Schizosaccharomyces pombe: one gene and its partners. The protein of the gene in region 3 purifies or fractionates together with the protein of the main gene of each other region. This does not show direct contact. Each region holds a gene or a part of one and is shown on either strand. Other genes may lie near its edges.

The links.
Region 1: the proteins of tdh1 (region 3) and win1 purify together in Schizosaccharomyces pombe (affinity purification with western blotting, with the first as the bait; one study listed by BioGRID). This does not show direct contact.
Region 2: the proteins of tdh1 (region 3) and mcs4 purify together in Schizosaccharomyces pombe (affinity purification with western blotting, with the first as the bait; 3 studies listed by BioGRID). This does not show direct contact.

Annotation. Positions count from the first base shown.
Region 1 is NC_003424.3:5,087,804-5,095,468, reverse strand, and holds win1 (MAP kinase kinase kinase Win1), read right to left. Parts: upstream 5,654-7,665; 5' UTR 5,029-5,653; coding exon 718-5,028; 3' UTR 621-717; downstream 1-620. Other genes in the region: rpl3002 (60S ribosomal protein eL30), read left to right, coding at 168-258; Spg1-binding protein Etd1, read right to left, coding at 6,143-6,408, 6,471-7,380. UniProt on the Schizosaccharomyces pombe protein: Involved in a signal transduction pathway that is activated by changes in the osmolarity of the extracellular environment. Activates the wis1 MAP kinase kinase by phosphorylation.
Region 2 is NC_003423.3:3,555,441-3,559,743, reverse strand, and holds mcs4 (response regulator Mcs4), read right to left. Parts: upstream 2,657-4,303; 5' UTR 2,471-2,656; coding exon 902-2,470; 3' UTR 607-901; downstream 1-606. Other genes in the region: tRNA pseudouridine synthase Pus2, read right to left, coding at 1-348; leucine-rich repeat protein Sog2, read left to right, coding at 4,262-4,303. UniProt on the Schizosaccharomyces pombe protein: Response regulator that coordinately controls the stress activated wak1-wis1-sty1 MAP kinase pathway and fission yeast cell cycle.
Region 3 is NC_003423.3:2,805,604-2,809,559, reverse strand, and holds tdh1 (glyceraldehyde-3-phosphate dehydrogenase Tdh1), read right to left. Parts: upstream 1,966-3,956; 5' UTR 1,924-1,965; coding exon 913-1,923; 3' UTR 509-912; downstream 1-508.

The DNA of each region.
Region 1 (7,665 bases), on a different chromosome or scaffold from region 3:
CCATTACATTTAAACTATGCTAATTTTATGACCATCATTTCTTTGAAAGAAAAATATAGCAATTGATGTTGAGAAACACTGTTTAATGGCTAGCTTTTTGAAGCCTTTTTGATTTCGACAGAGATCTTAATTGGGAGTCGAATTTTGTTTTACTAACTGTTTTCAAGTATTGATTTAGGAACTGCATGTGGTAAATTATTTCGCGTCGGTGTATTAGCAGTTATTGATGCTGGCGATTCCGACATTCTTGCTGCTTAGGTAAAACTTATTAAAATTTTTAAAATCAATGTTATGGCAGATAAAATAAATCGGATTATTTTTATTGGATTTCCAAGTTTCTGGTAGAATCCAGGAACTCTTTAGCTTGACATATCTAAACAAATGTAAAAAATTCAGCATTAGGCTGATCTATCTTGTATATTAGCGTAACAATGAAACTCATCAATATATGCATTGTATTTACGTTTGATTGTTGTAGCAAGGTAATTTAATTAACGTCTCTTCCTAGCGCCGTAGTAAAAATGATTCTATGATAAAGTCACTTTTACACTCAACTAATTCAATAACGATTCATTTAATGAATACCGCATAGATTGCTACGAATACAAAACTTACAAAGTGTTTAGGACTTTATAATATTTCTCGTCTCTATTAATTAAGTATTAAATTAAAACCGTATCCAAAAAATAGTCATAAGGTGTAAAACATAGCAAACATCTAAAGTTCCAACGGAGCACCATTGGTAGAAGGCGCTGATTCGACTACGGATGAGTTCATAAGATCGAATTCCGTACCAGCCCGTAAGGGATACACCCATGGATCCATTAATAATTCGGCAGCTGTAGCGCGCTGATTGGGATCAGAAACAAAACAACGTTTGAGGAAATTTTGACCCAAAGGCGAAAGCTGATCATCTGCAGGAATAATAGGAGGATTATGTGCAGCAATGTGATACATCAAAGAAAAATGATTATCTAATCTAGGCCAAGGTGGGGAACCCGTAGCCATTTCAACAATAACACATCCAAGTGACCAAATATCCATAGCACCAACCCTTTCGGACGGATTACCAAGAATTAATTCTGGCGCCATATACGTAGGTGTTCCTGTCAAGGAGTAACCGCGATTTTGGTCTAGATGCTGCAAAAATTCCGAGTCTTTTTCAAACTCTTCCTCTTCTTGTTGTGTTAACTGTTCAAAAATTTTAGTTGAAGCAGAACCCGACATCTTGGCAGAACCAAAATCTGTAAATTTCATGATCCCGTTGTGATCAAAAAGGATATTCTCAGGCTTTACATCTTGATGTGAAACACCACAGGAGTGTATGTAAGCCAATCCTTCTAATAATTGTAGGACATAAACTTGAATTACCAATTCGTCCTCAATTCTACCGTAACGTAGAAATTCGAAAAGCGAAGAGCCTTGACAAAGTTCCATAAATATATTAACTTTTTCACGATGCACTTCGATACCATAATACGATACGACATTAGGATGATCAAAGAGTTCAAGTACTAACATTTCACCTTTAATCCTCTTGATCATCGGTCTAGATATACGAGGTTTATGCAATGCCACTTCTTTAACAGCCATTAAATCTCCTGTATCCAAGTTAACAGCACGATAAACCGTACCGAAAGAACCGCTACCTATAAGTCCACCCTGTTGCCATCGAATCGTGATATTAGATTTCGAAGAGGCTAGCTCTTTCAATAGCCTGTTCTCCTTTGTCGTATCATCCAAAACACGTCCAATGAGCTGGGACTTATAAAGTCGGTCCCTTCTATTACTTTCTAGTTCAATTATCCGATGCATAACCTCCTCCTTGACAAAGGAAGCCAACTCATTATCCGATAAACGACTTCGGTCGGAATTATTTCGAACAAGGCGAGCTGGTATATCTCCAGCTTGTTGGTCCATACTACGACCAGCATGTTTAGTACCCATAACATCAAAGTGCAAAAGTAATAATGCCACACATTTTCCAACCTTTTCTTTGAGTTCTTCAAATGATTTTTTATCAATCATTAAAATGTTCGAACCGTATGTCATAATCATTGCGAATTCTAAAGCCGTAACAGTCCAACGAAACGTATTTCTATCGGTAGGAGAACAATCCTCATAGATGAATCCAACCCAACTGATCGCCAGCTGTATCATTTTGCGACGAATCAGCCCAATGCTAGATGCGTCTAGGATCGAAAGCCTCATTAATCGTTGTGCAAATTCAATGGCGTAAGAAAAAGAATAATGAATTAGATTTTGGCAATTCATGCCATGGTACCTTGTACGAATTGTTTGTATCACATCAAGCAATGACAAAGCCAACTTCAAAGAATTTCGTTTAATTTTGGTCATTTGTTTGTTGATTTTGGATGAATTTGCTTTCGCAGAATCAACAAGTGAGACTGTGTCACCAACTATACTAATAAAATAATCTTCGATAACAGAGAGTTGATTAGCTGTCGCTAACGTTACTAAACGGACACAGTTAGGAGCAATGGAAATTGACACTTCCGGAATATCAAGATCTGTAACATGGCCGTTCCAACATATTGAGCTGTCTGGAGCCAATACAACCGCATATGGAGGTACACTTTCAAAATTATTATCTCCTTTATTAAAAGTCATTGAAAGTACCTCACGAAGTATATTAGGGGAATCAACTAGGTGTCCTGGAACAATTACGTATGCTCCTTCATGTTCGATACTCGCCGTATATGTCAAAACGTGATTTGATTCTTCAAGGCGTTGTATTAAAAGGGATAATGAATTCTCTTTAATAACGTACTCGCAAGAATTTTCCAAATGCGCTTTTAGTATACGAGTAAAACTCATCAATTTTCGGAAGCGAATTCTAACACAGTCAAGCACCTTGATATAAAATGAGGTGATCAATGCAGAGTCATCGGTATCGGGCCCCTGCAGCTGATCTTTTAGATACCTATTGATATTGGTCAATATTTCACCAACCAGCGAAGAAAGACTTTTAGACATAATTTGGAATCCGTGTTCGATGTGGGGACAAACAGCGAGCAGAAAATCCCATTCTCCTTCTAAAATTTCGGTTTCTTTGAAATGCAGCAAGGCACAGCCATTGCGAACCTTACGATGTAATAAATTGAAGTAAAATTTCAATGAGGCAACTAAAATATTGTTTAAGGACTGGTTTTCATCAACAAATTTGCTATCATCACGAAAAGGTTTGATTAGAACAGTGTGTTGTTGAATGATATGGACGGCAACTTTCATAGTGTTCCGAAGGTCATCTAGTAAAGAGTCAATCGTAAATAAAGAAATTGAGGTAATATTTTCTGCACATGATAAGCGAAGATTTAGGAACTCTTTGATTAACCTAAACGGAAAAGAAAGAAGACGCATGTAATCATCAGCAATAAGCGGCAAGCCATAACTTTTTAAATCATCCGCATATGTAACAATCGTATTACAAACTTTGCTTAATACGCTATTCATATTAGTCATGATTCTTTGCTCAAAAGCTCGAATCAAACCGGTTTCTCTATAAAAGCGCTCCACAAATGGTCCGTTTGAAATTTGAGAAACGTTATTAATAGAATTTGTAGTATTTTTGGTAATGTCCATTTCCTCATTACCAACCCACGAGCGAATAATGTTAACTTGAATTTCTAGCGCATGAGTGACATTAGAATAAGCCGTCAAGACATCCAACTTGTGCTGAAAAGATTCTGAAGCATATAATGAATGTTCCTGAAGGATAGAACGACGTGAAGGATATAAACGTTCATATTTATCAAGTTTTTGCAGCATGTTATCGACAGCAACAATAGGGGTTAATTCGTTGCTCTCATCCCAATGAAAATTCATAATGGCCAGTAGCACATCAACCATACCCGTACGAAGATGTTTTAAATTTTCTCTATAAGAATCAACGGAACGATGAGTAAGCCAACACCATATTTCCATCCACAAATTATCAGAATAATCACTATTTCGCCCTTCTCGAGAAGAAGCAATCTTTCTTAGCCGTAATTTTTCAGATCGGACTATATCACCAGTCAGAACTGAAGTCAACATATATTGCCATTCAAAACGTTCTTTGTTTTTTGGGTTAGCCATTAAATCATCAGAAAGTAAGGATGGGAGATTCAGAACAGATTGTACCCAATTTACAGTTGAAGTCTCAGAATCTAAATCCGAGTCCTCCTCATCATAAGTTTCATTAACATTAGAAAAGTAATAAGTTGAACTATCACGACGAATGCTTAGAGAAGGATCGTTATAATCATATTCTGGGTCAAAACACTTTAACGAACTACTCAGTCGTCTTAATTGAGATTTCCTCTCAGGATGATCTTCAATTTTAGCAAATGTTATAGAATTTCTTAGTTTGTGAGAACGCTTGGGCTTTTCTGGCAAATTTTTAGTTTTGCTTGGAACTGCTGTTGAATTTATGTGTTCAACATCAATCATTGGCGACGAAATAGAACGTCCTCTGTGCATATAATCGTCTTCCTTAATACCGGGAGACTTTATTATCCTATTTGAGCTAATACTACTTTGCAGACTAGGTCGGATAGGATGATCGAGGTTTGAATGACCAGCATTCTTAATTGGTATAGGAATGGAAGAGGAAGAAGTAGGAGGATGTAGTAGATTACTAGTATCGCTTGGACTTACGGCATAAGCACGATCTAATTCATCAATATTGATTGGGTCAACAGGGGTAGAAATAGTAAGGGCCTCGGCTGGAGGCTGTTCAGCCATTCTGAAAGCTTCTGAAAATAAGTCCTCTTTGGCGCTCGCCTTGGATCTATCACTTGAGCTACGCGCAACAGATGGCCTTCTGTGATTTTCTTCTTTTCCGTTGTTAGGAAGTTCAAGCATAGACGAGGTAAAACTTGAAAGTAAAGTCAAAGAGCGACGATGAGCCTTTTCAAATGTTTTATCACGCAATTCACTATCAAGAATTGGATTGATAGAAGATCGCCTTGAGCCATTTTCTAGTATATGTGAATTGACCACAGAAGGATCCAAAATATTTTCCATGTTTGTTGAGGAACAAATTTCGAATTGCTTCAGAAGTTATGTATAAAAAAGACCGTTATACCCAAATTTAAACCCAAAACGGGAAACAGATAAGTTTGGAATAGTGGCAAGTAGTAGTAGAATAATTGTTTACTGAAGTCAAAAATGGGAGTGGGTAATGAAAAAGTGGTTTACAGATGCAAGGAATGCCAACTCAGTGTAAGGAATTGTGCAGCGAAGTCAATGCAACTACTGTTATATGTAAAAATAAAAAATCCGAAGTTGACAAAGACAAATAACGATTGCAGGAATTACCAACCGAACAGAATTCAGGTTGTAAGTATATTAAAGTAATGCAGTCAAATTGAGGAACGTAGAGAGAGAGACACACACACACATCCAAAGCAATGGGTTTTCGAAAAGATACGGTAAATATTAATGAGCAGAAAAAAATGATAAAATATTAAATGTAGAAATTCGGCTTAAAAAATCGATAAAAGTGTTGTGTAAAAAAATTATACGAGCCGAAGAGCAGTAAAACTACCGCGTATAAATTGTTGAAAGAGCAATAATCAGTGAACTAAAAAGTCAATCCTCCTTGTAGAATATGTGGAATTGACAAAAAGAAAATTTATAGGTTTGCGGTGTGCAAAGGATAAACAACTAATTGTGGTCTAACCCCGTAGTATAGTATGAAGTGGGGTACTAGTTTTAAGGATTTTCAGTGCAATGAGGAATTTCTCACTAAATAGCAAAATCATAGATATGGGTTTTCAGGTATTTTTGATTTACATTCTTTTACTTTAATTTAATAAAATCTTTTTATCACAGAATAAAGGTTGGACTAATATTCACAAAAGACAAAACATCTGTCTAGTACTTTTTCCGAAATATTATTGCAAAATAGATTTATTAAAAAGAGAAAACGAAAGAAATTTACAATAAAACCAAAAGCTTCTTAAGATGCAGAAGTATAAAAAGGTTGTAATGGCCAGTTTCACCTTTACTTGCTATCCACCAATGCGAAACTGTTCTCACAATTATTGAAATTATCCTAAGCGAAATTTTGACACTTTGGATAACAAAATAGATACTTCCCATTCCATTAATGGATTAAATAGCCAAAAAGAGAAACTCAGTGTAATAATAGTTGGAGTTGGGACATTAAATAATGCACATGATCGTTTAGCCCTGGTAGCATGGACGCATCGAAATCTAATGAAGAATCCCCTTCCAACTTAACTTTATATTTTGATAAAATGTTTTGCGCGTCCTCATCCTTTAAATCAGAATAATTTGCAGGATCCGCTAACCGTAGAATAGCCTTAGCCTCTCCTAAAATCTCTGAGTCCTTGTCGTAAATATCTTTGGAATTTGCCTTTTCGTAAAGATCTTTTAAGTCTATTTGTGTTTTTAGTTAGCAGCGGTTAAAACTAAAGCATTACAACACATGAATGTCTTACCTTTGATGGATCTCGTAAATTCCTTCACCTCAAAAAGCTGTTCTCGAACGGTGTGTCCTGCACTGTTTACCGTTTCGGGAATTATCAATGGACTATCGAATTTCACATTAAAGTCCTGCTCCCAATCTGAATCCGCATCGTCCGCAAATAAATCGCAACGAGATGAAAATCGAATATCCGATGAATCGTTATTTATATGAGTCGTTTGCGTATTGTCTTGAATGATAGGTTCCGACACTTTCGACGACTCTGGCGAAGTAGTCGATAACTCGTCCCAGCAAATACCATCCGAACTCTCATCTTCTTGCGTAGTCGCACCCAAAGAAGTTTCTTGGATTTGCTTAGCTAATTCATTTATCCGAAAGGAATCTGTCTCATTATCATCATGAAGCTCACCTTCAATAAATCCATTAACTGAAGGTAGTTCAGCACCTACACCACTAGCCTTGCTCCCTTTATTGGCCGAATTAAATTCATTACTTAACGCAGTTTTTTTACAGTTGCCTTTGTTTATCTCATTCGCCGTAAAGTGAGACAACGACGTACTGTCTGCACCTGAAGCGTTGCGTTGTACAGTACTTTTTGACTCAACTCCTATGAATGAAAAAATTCGTTTAGAAAATTTTCGGGAGTAACTTCTTAAGCTTTCAAATGCTGAGGGTTTCCTCCATGAGCCTTGATCTATGCATTCGGAGGTGTTAACTTCTTTCGGTAATCCAAGCTGTTTAGGGCGCCTCGGTGTAATATCTGAACCATAACTTTTCATGCCTTTCACATGCCTTCGTTGTAGAGTCACACCTTCAAAAGAATGACCCCTATTCTCTTCGAAAGTATCTGGAACCTCTGCCATATTGACAGAAGAATAGAAATATTCACTTAAATTTTGTTGACTGCCGTATACAACTCCCATTGACGAAATACTCGTAAATCTATATTTCTCTTAAGCTAAATTAAAGAAAGAATTATTGCCGTAGAGAAAAGACTGTACGCGTCAACCCATTCAAGTGTGTAAATAATGGTAGAAGGCACTTTCGTCAAGACCACGCTTTTGTTAGTAAACAAACGGTCGTCATGAGAACGACATAACGAATTTTGAACATGAATCTGTAAATGATTTATAAGGAAATACAAAGTTCTATAACATCAAAGAACGCAATTCGTTATGTTGTTTAAGCGCTATATAATTCTGATAAAT
Region 2 (4,303 bases), 750 kb from region 3:
TGGCTTATCGACAAAAAGATTTAATGATATTAAATTTCTTAATGTATGGACCCCTTTGTCTGTTCTAGCTGCTCGCGCAATACACAAATGTTCAGCATCAATGTTATTTGTTTTTAAATAGCCCAATTTTTTAAGTACAGCTACAACATCTCCTTCAATTGTTTTAAGGGGATTATTTATTTGAATCCCATGGTAACCATAACCAGAATATCCCAATAAAATGATGATACGAACTTTGTTAGATTCTTTTGTGCCCTCGATTTTTTCTCGCTTTGGTAATTTTGGTGTTTCTAGATCCTCTGCGGGTATATGCTCCTGTTGATTTTTTCTTTTCGAGATAGAAGTCATTTTTTATAAAACAAATCTTCTAAAAAAATTTAAAGAAAAAAAAAACACCACAGTTTACTATTAATTACAAAAACGTATTAAAACAAAAGACACAGAAAATATTGGTGTTTAAGTGTGGTATGGACGCAATCAAGAATGATGCACACGAGATTGAAATACGCTCATTTTTTAGCGACATATTAAAAGTCTTTACAACTAAAATATTAGATACGAAAATAAGATATCCTACTTTATTATCTTTGTAGATGAATAACGAAATTTTGGAGTTTTAATGTACAACATAATATTAGGTAAATCAGAAAGTGTTTAGTTATAAGGATAACACAATTAGCAATAAGTATCTATGACAAGCTGATCCATTAATAATTAAGGCAGGTAATTAGGTAAAGGAAAAGAGGAAATTATTTTGCTAGCAAACCATAGCGTCCGACAAATTGATAACCAAAAGATTAATTTTATACAATAAAAGATTACGGAAATAAAATGAGCGGAGCTCGACTTATTGTGGTGAACAGAACAAAACACAGTGATACAAAATTTGGTAAGGCTAATATCATCGACCGCGAAAACGGCACCAACCATTCCAATCAATAAGCGCTTGCATACAGCCCCACTCCGTAATTTTTTTCTCTAGCCAAACTAAAGAGACAGGCTTTGTAAGAAAATCATTGCAACCAGCAGCTAAAGCCTCGTTTCGATCAGCCATTAGGCTAGAAGCAGTAAGTGCCACTATAATCACAGGAGATTGAAATTTGTTTTCATTTAGCTGATCCTTTTCAGGTATCGGTTGTGTCAATTTTGGAGCACCAACTCCAATTGCGTTTAACCGCTCAAGTCTCCTAATTTCTTGGGTGACTTCAATACCGGACATCGTGGGAAGTTGGATGTCCATTAGAATCAAGTGAAAAGATTTCTTTTTCCACTTCTCGAGTGCTTCAAGCCCATCTTTAGCAACCTCCGAGGAAATATTGCGCTTCTTCATAAAAGTCTCTAGGATTTTTTGATTAATAATATTATCTTCAACAATCAAAACGTTAATTGGAGGAATCACTCCTTCAAGTAGACTAGCAAAAGGTGCTTTCGCACCTATGCCGGGACTTGTTAGAACATTGACTGGTGAAGTACCAACAATTCCATCTATTTGATTAGAAGGAAATCCTAAATGGGCTTGTGTATCAGCATTTAAGGGATCTTTGTTGTCTGCTATAGGAAATTGAGAACTGATATCAGGGTTCATCCTATTTGCTGCGTCAATATCAGCATTAACCGCGGGAAGGACTCCTGCGGTACCAGATTGTTTCGTATAAAGCGATGAATGACTAATACTTCTACTATTAGTGGGTGTCGCGACTTCGGCTTTCGCCAATTTTTCAGCTGTTGATTCATCAGACCGAGTCGACATTCCAATAGAATTTTTTCTAGTAATGGATTCGGCTTCGTCTGATGGTTGCGACTTGTCAGCTGAAGTTAGATCTGGTAAAGAGGGTCTTGAAGCCAATGTTTGCTGTCTAGAAGAACGAGGCAAAAGTAGTACGCCAGTTTTATTTACATTAGAGGAAGGAAGAGTTTGATGGGACCTAGTTCGGGATGCATTTCGTAAATTATAATTTAAAGGACCTCCTTTATAAGAATAAGTACTTTGATGTCGTGAAGGGGCAGAAACCGGGCTCTCAAGTGAATCAAGAGCAATGGATGGCTGTTTGATACGCGGGACTGTTTCGTTCGCTGGGGTAGGGATTATGTTAGGTGGGTATTCAGAAAAAACGGGAGGTGTTGATTCAAATGTAGAGGATGAGAGTTGAGAAGAGCGATATCTTAAGGCAACTGAGGTATCCGGCGACGCTACTAGAAGCGCGTCGTTAAAATCCTGACCATGAGGATAATAAGTTTCCATGACAAATAATATGCTTTCGTTGGGACTGAGTTCTCTAGATTGCAACTCCGATGATGCATTTGGTGGAGCTACTACACGAATCGAAAGCTCAGGTGCATCATAATACTGACTGATACGAATAGGGAATTTCCGAGCGATGGCATCTTTTAAATCGTCAACCAGATGATCTTCAGACAATATAACGGAGGAAGTAATCCCATCTGGAACTTTTTTAAACCAAATGCGCATCTTCTATATATCTTCTTTCTTTTGACTTAACCTCAACTTTCCTATATACAGTATGAACAACCAAAACAGCCGCCTGTTTTTACGTTTAACATTCGATAGCTTCTTGTATAATCCCCTTCTATTTTAAATTTAATAGAAATATACAAGTATAAAATCACTGTTCGTGATAAGGAATGAGTAAGGTATGGTTCACGATACAATACGGCAAGCCTACTTAAGGTGTTGAGTTTCGTTACCTAGTCGTGCAACAAGCGCTGGGGATTTAGTAGAGTACTTAGAGTAACACCTTCCATCTGAGGACAAAAATCGAATAAATTTTAACACGTGAAAATAATAGGCACAGCTAAAACTGCGATTGTAAATTATACATTCTACGATACGAGCAAATAAGTATTCGTTTAAAAGGGATACTGTTGTGTTATTGACTTACTATTAGAATTCGACATTACTAAAATTTAACTAATTGAGTAATTGTTTCTGAAATTTATTCCTTATTTTAGATTTTATTTAAAGTATGTAGTTTAAAAAAAAAAAAAATTAAACGTTATACCCATACTTAGTTGGCTACCATTAATGGTCCTATTACTACTTGTCAGGTTTGGATATTTAATGACTCAGATTAAATGATTTAATCAACACAAACCAATATTTTTGAAATTCAAAAATAATGAGGCTTCAATTTCTCAATGAGAAACCAAAAAAAATTATTTTAGATAGTAACCCATTTAGTCATAGAAAAAAAAACCGTGTTTGATTATATGTACAATTTATCAACTCATTTATTTTTATCAGGTTCTTAAATCATAATGATAAACCTAGGCGATTCTATTAGGAAGCAATATATTAAGGACTAATAAAATAAACAATAAATATTAATGATTAGGAAATCAAACGCACCAAGATAATCAAATTGATAAACAAACTATAGATAAATGACAGAAATATTGAATCAACAAAATTGCAACTCATTCAAAAAGTTATCAATTTACACTTAAAGAATTATTTACCACAAAACATACTGTAGCGTTAGCATTTGTTGCTCCTGTTAATAACGACTTCTGATCTCGATGAACTCAAAAAGTTCGAACCAACATAATATAGCGAGTGCTTTTGATCATTCAAGAATTAGAAATGAATGCTAACAATACTACATTACAATTACGAATTACTATATGTCACATGTTCTGATTACCTATCGTCTTACAAATGATAACAATACGATGTAGATCCACTAATAAATTTTTTAATTTATTAGCTAGAAATGATAGATGTAAAATCAAAGGAACAACGTTCTTTAGTTCAGCTGTGGTGGTTTGTTTAGAGATAAATTACATTACCGCCTTCATACAAGGATATCCGTAACCCCCGTTATCATACAACCATATGTACCGCTATGTAGTGCACATACGAAAATCAAGTAGTCTAACATATCATTAATGATAATTACGAACTGCATAGCTAAAAAAAATAAAACGCAATATCAAACTTAACGAAAATATTTTGTGTAAACGTTAATAAACTGTAATTATTTTAAGGAAAAGTGCTTATTCACGTTGTTAAAATAAAAAAGTACAACCTACAGATGCGTACACAGAAAGAAGTGAGTTTATTCGTTCCGCGAACTAGCTTGGCAGTAAATTTTGGGGAATTGACTTTTGTACATTATAGCATACCATTGTGGATCAATTTTATGTTCATTGCATTTTTTTAGTAATTATTACTTCTTAGAGTTCCTTTTTTTTTCAACAAAACCTTCGGATTTACGTCTGAGGTGATCGATCTTTTCATGCTATGTCTGCTCATGAGGTGTCCTCCACAAAAAACTCAGAAATT
Region 3 (3,956 bases):
ATATGTATTTTTAGATTGACAATAAACATTTTCGTTTTTGTTGATTAACATGTAATCATGTGATGCGCTAGTAGCGTACACAACTAACATAGCGATGAATTGTTTGTACTTTACAGTGGGTAAAAATTTTTAAATTACAAAACCGACTTCGGTTTGAATAAAGTCTAAAGTGTGCATTGGGAGATCAACTAGTTCTCGGGATGCAGACGGAAAAACAGTAAAACAAGCTCTTCGCGGTACAAGTGAAAAAGATCAAAACGGGCGTTCATGCTTAAGTGCATCTTCATATTAAACTTAAGCTAGCGAAATGGGGGACAGTGGATGCCTCCTACCTAAATCCATCAGTAAAGTAACACCGTCCCCACAAATGCGACTCACCACCAAAGCAATAATATATAGTATAAATAAGACTTTGACATAATATCCTACAAGGAAACTGACAAAAAAAAATTCACTTAAGTTGACCAAATGAAAAAGAGATTACACAAGACTACAAAAGAAGATCATTTACAAAAGGAGACAGGCAAACTATACGTATCACAAACCAAAACGAAAAAAAGTATTTATCAAAATCATAAAATTTATTTATAAGTATTTATAAGTTCAAAAACAAACGCTCAGCCATCTCATCACTGCAACAAAATTAAAAAAAATATATGCAACAATGAATGAGAAGGAGGGTATCAAAGAACAGAGGAAATTTGTAAAAAAGTCATCCATCTATTTATTCACATAGAGTGCGCGTCCACAAAAAAAATGCGAAAATCTAAAAAAGAAAACTCCCGCACTGCAAACGACAACGACTCCTTTGTCTAACATAAAGAAAAAACGGGGAAAACAACTCCAAAAGACTTTCCTGCATTGCCTTTAAGCACCCACCCGACGTTTCTTAGCATCGGGATGATTAGCTAGTTAGTTGTCCTTGGCGGCAGTGTAGGCAACCAAGTCAACGACACGGCGGGAGTAACCCCATTCGTTATCGTACCAAGAGACGAGCTTGACGAATTGAGGAGAAAGTTGGATACCGGCAGAGGCATCGAAGATGGAGGAGTGGTTGTCACCGCAGAAGTCAGTGGAGACAACAGCGTCCTCGGTGTAACCCAACACACCCTTCATGGGGCCCTCAGAGGCAGCCTTGATGGCGGCCTTGATGTCCTCGTAGTTGGTAGGCTTGGCCAACTTGACGGTCAAGTCAACAACGGAAACATCGGGGGTAGGGACACGGAAAGCCATACCGGTAAGCTTACCGTTAAGAGCGGGAATAACCTTACCGACGGCCTTGGCGGCACCAGTGGAGGAGGGGATGATGTTGGCGCTGGCGCCACGACCACCACGCCAGTCCTTCTTGGAGGGACCGTCAACGGTCTTTTGGGTGGCAGTGGTAGCGTGGACAGTGGTCATGAGACCCTCCTCGATACCGAAGGTGTCGTTGATGACCTTGGCAAGGGGAGCCAAACAGTTGGTGGTGCAAGAAGCGTTGGAGATAACCTTCTCAGAGGGGTTGAACTTCTCCTCGTTGACACCGACAACGTACATGGGGGCGTCCTTGGAAGGAGCAGAGATGATGACACGCTTGGCACCACCCTTCAAGTGAGCAGAGGCAGTCTCTTGAGTGGTGAAGACACCGGTGGACTCGATAACGTAGTCAGCACCAGAGGTAGACCACTTGATGTCGGCGGGGTCACGCTCGTTGTGGACATCGATGGCATTGCCATCAATGACGAGCTTACCATCCTTGATCTCGACGGAGCCATCGAAGCGACCGTGGGTAGAGTCGTACTTGAACATGTAGGCCATGTATTCAAGATCGATAAAAGGATCGTTGATAGCAACGACTTGGATGGTCTTAGCGACCAAAGCGTTACGGAGGACAATACGTCCAATACGACCGAAACCGTTAATACCAACCTTAGGAATTGCCATTTTGAATCAAGTGTAAATCAATACTATGGATGAATGATCTATACAGAAGCGATGCTAGGCACCGCCTGCCTCTATTTATACCTTTCCATCCCACACAGCAGCCATCAGCCGTGGTGTGAATGGGGTAAGGGTTTCCCCCGACTATCTTTACCACAATTGCCTCGCACTCGATTCGGAACAACTAAGGAGCAAGGTGATTGGAGAAGGTGCGCGATCGTGATGTGGTGCCAACTTTCCTTGACTTTCTTTGCAAGTTGTTCCGAGATGGTCGTTGCTTCGTTGGTAATCTGCCTCGTTCCCGCTCCTGACTTTGATTGCACATTCCATGACGTCAGCCTTGTGAGGAAAGTTTTTCCGACGCCTACCTCAGCGTGATGCAAGCCTTGTCACCTGAAGTCAGGGGGAAGGAGGAATTGCTAGCACATTCCAAAGTCAAAAGGTTGACAAGGCGGTTGTCCATTGGCTACGGAAAAATCACAAGACAGGGTCCTTTCGTAGCGAGGCCAAATGCACCCTGAGTCATTTATCGCCTCTGGCCTCTTTTAATCAAGCGCCGAGCGCATTGTTACCTGCAGGAAGCCGGGTGAAAGCGGTCGAAGAGTTTCGAGAGGACGATTGCGATGGTAGGTGAGGAGGTGATGATGGCGCTTCGGTAGTAGTGGTAGAGCGGTGCGTCGTTGCTATCATGCGTACATTCAAGCAGCATCAGCAGCAGCAGTTGAGGATGACAGCGGCTGCTACTGATGCTTGAGCTACAGTCGTCAAACAGATGCAGACTGTGGGTGTGGGTGGAAAGTGGGTAGAGAGAGAAGAGATGAGTGATTGTTGGTGCGATGTCCTGAGCTTCAACGTTTGTGCATAAAAGGAATGGACGCACAGTTTGTTTATTTAGTGTGCATGCGTGCGTGTATATTTTGTTATTTGCATTTTTGTATGTATGTGTAATCGTATTTGTATGGGAGTTTACAAAAATTCAGGAATTTTGATTTTCCATACTTTACAGCGTCCAAACCTTCTCACATCTGCCAAAACATCCTTACTAATTGAATTCTCCCGTCATCTCATCAACATTCATCATCATTTCACGCTACGCCAACAGTGTGGCATATACATGCAATGCAATCCACAGGCAATTTCAACGCTAGCATTGACTTGCTCAAACATGGCATGTCGACGTACAGTGCACCACTCGTACTAATACACTGCATTGCTCCACGTAAGCTCCATGATGTGAATTGAGGAATTTACTCCACCATAGTTCTTGTCTTTTAGCGAAAAGAGACATTCGTTACGAATCTCATATTCTCCTTGTGCGTAATTTTTTGACTTGCCATTTCATTCCCAAAACCAACGAACGAGCAGGGACTCAAATGAGCATCGATTCAAACTGAGTATCGACTCGTAATAAACATTGACTCAACTCACAATCTACTTGCATTTCCAACTTTTTTTTTTCAACTTTTTTGTTTCCAACTTTCTTCTAACCTTGTACATTCCCATTTTCCATTTTCCATTATTAACACTCGGTGTTTTGCCCATTCTCTTTTTTTCCTCTTTTTTCTCTCTCGCTCCCACTCTGTTTCCTCTCTTTTCTCTACCTTCTTAACAAGGTGGCTGTTGTCAAACACTTCGTTTACATCGTCGGCATTTCGTCGTCGCTTCTATTTTTTTCTAGGCATAATGGTGCATCATAAGCAAAATTGTATCAATAACATAGTGTACGATTGTCACGTAATCGGCAAAGCGCTTCTTGGCCTTGCCTCGAAAATCCGCTCTTCTTCGTTTTGATAGGAAAGCAAAACATACACATACATATACATATACACAATACAAATAAAATATGCATTATAATGAAACAGTTTCAGGATACATCACTTGCTCCAGTCTCCAAACGTACTTGGCAATATCGCTTTACTTACAACACTCCCATTCCACCACCACCCATCTACTCTTTTACTTATTTAACCTGTATAATAGAATATCTATAATAGTATAAAGTGTAATAACCCGCTTTCCTTCCATGTCTGCTGTTT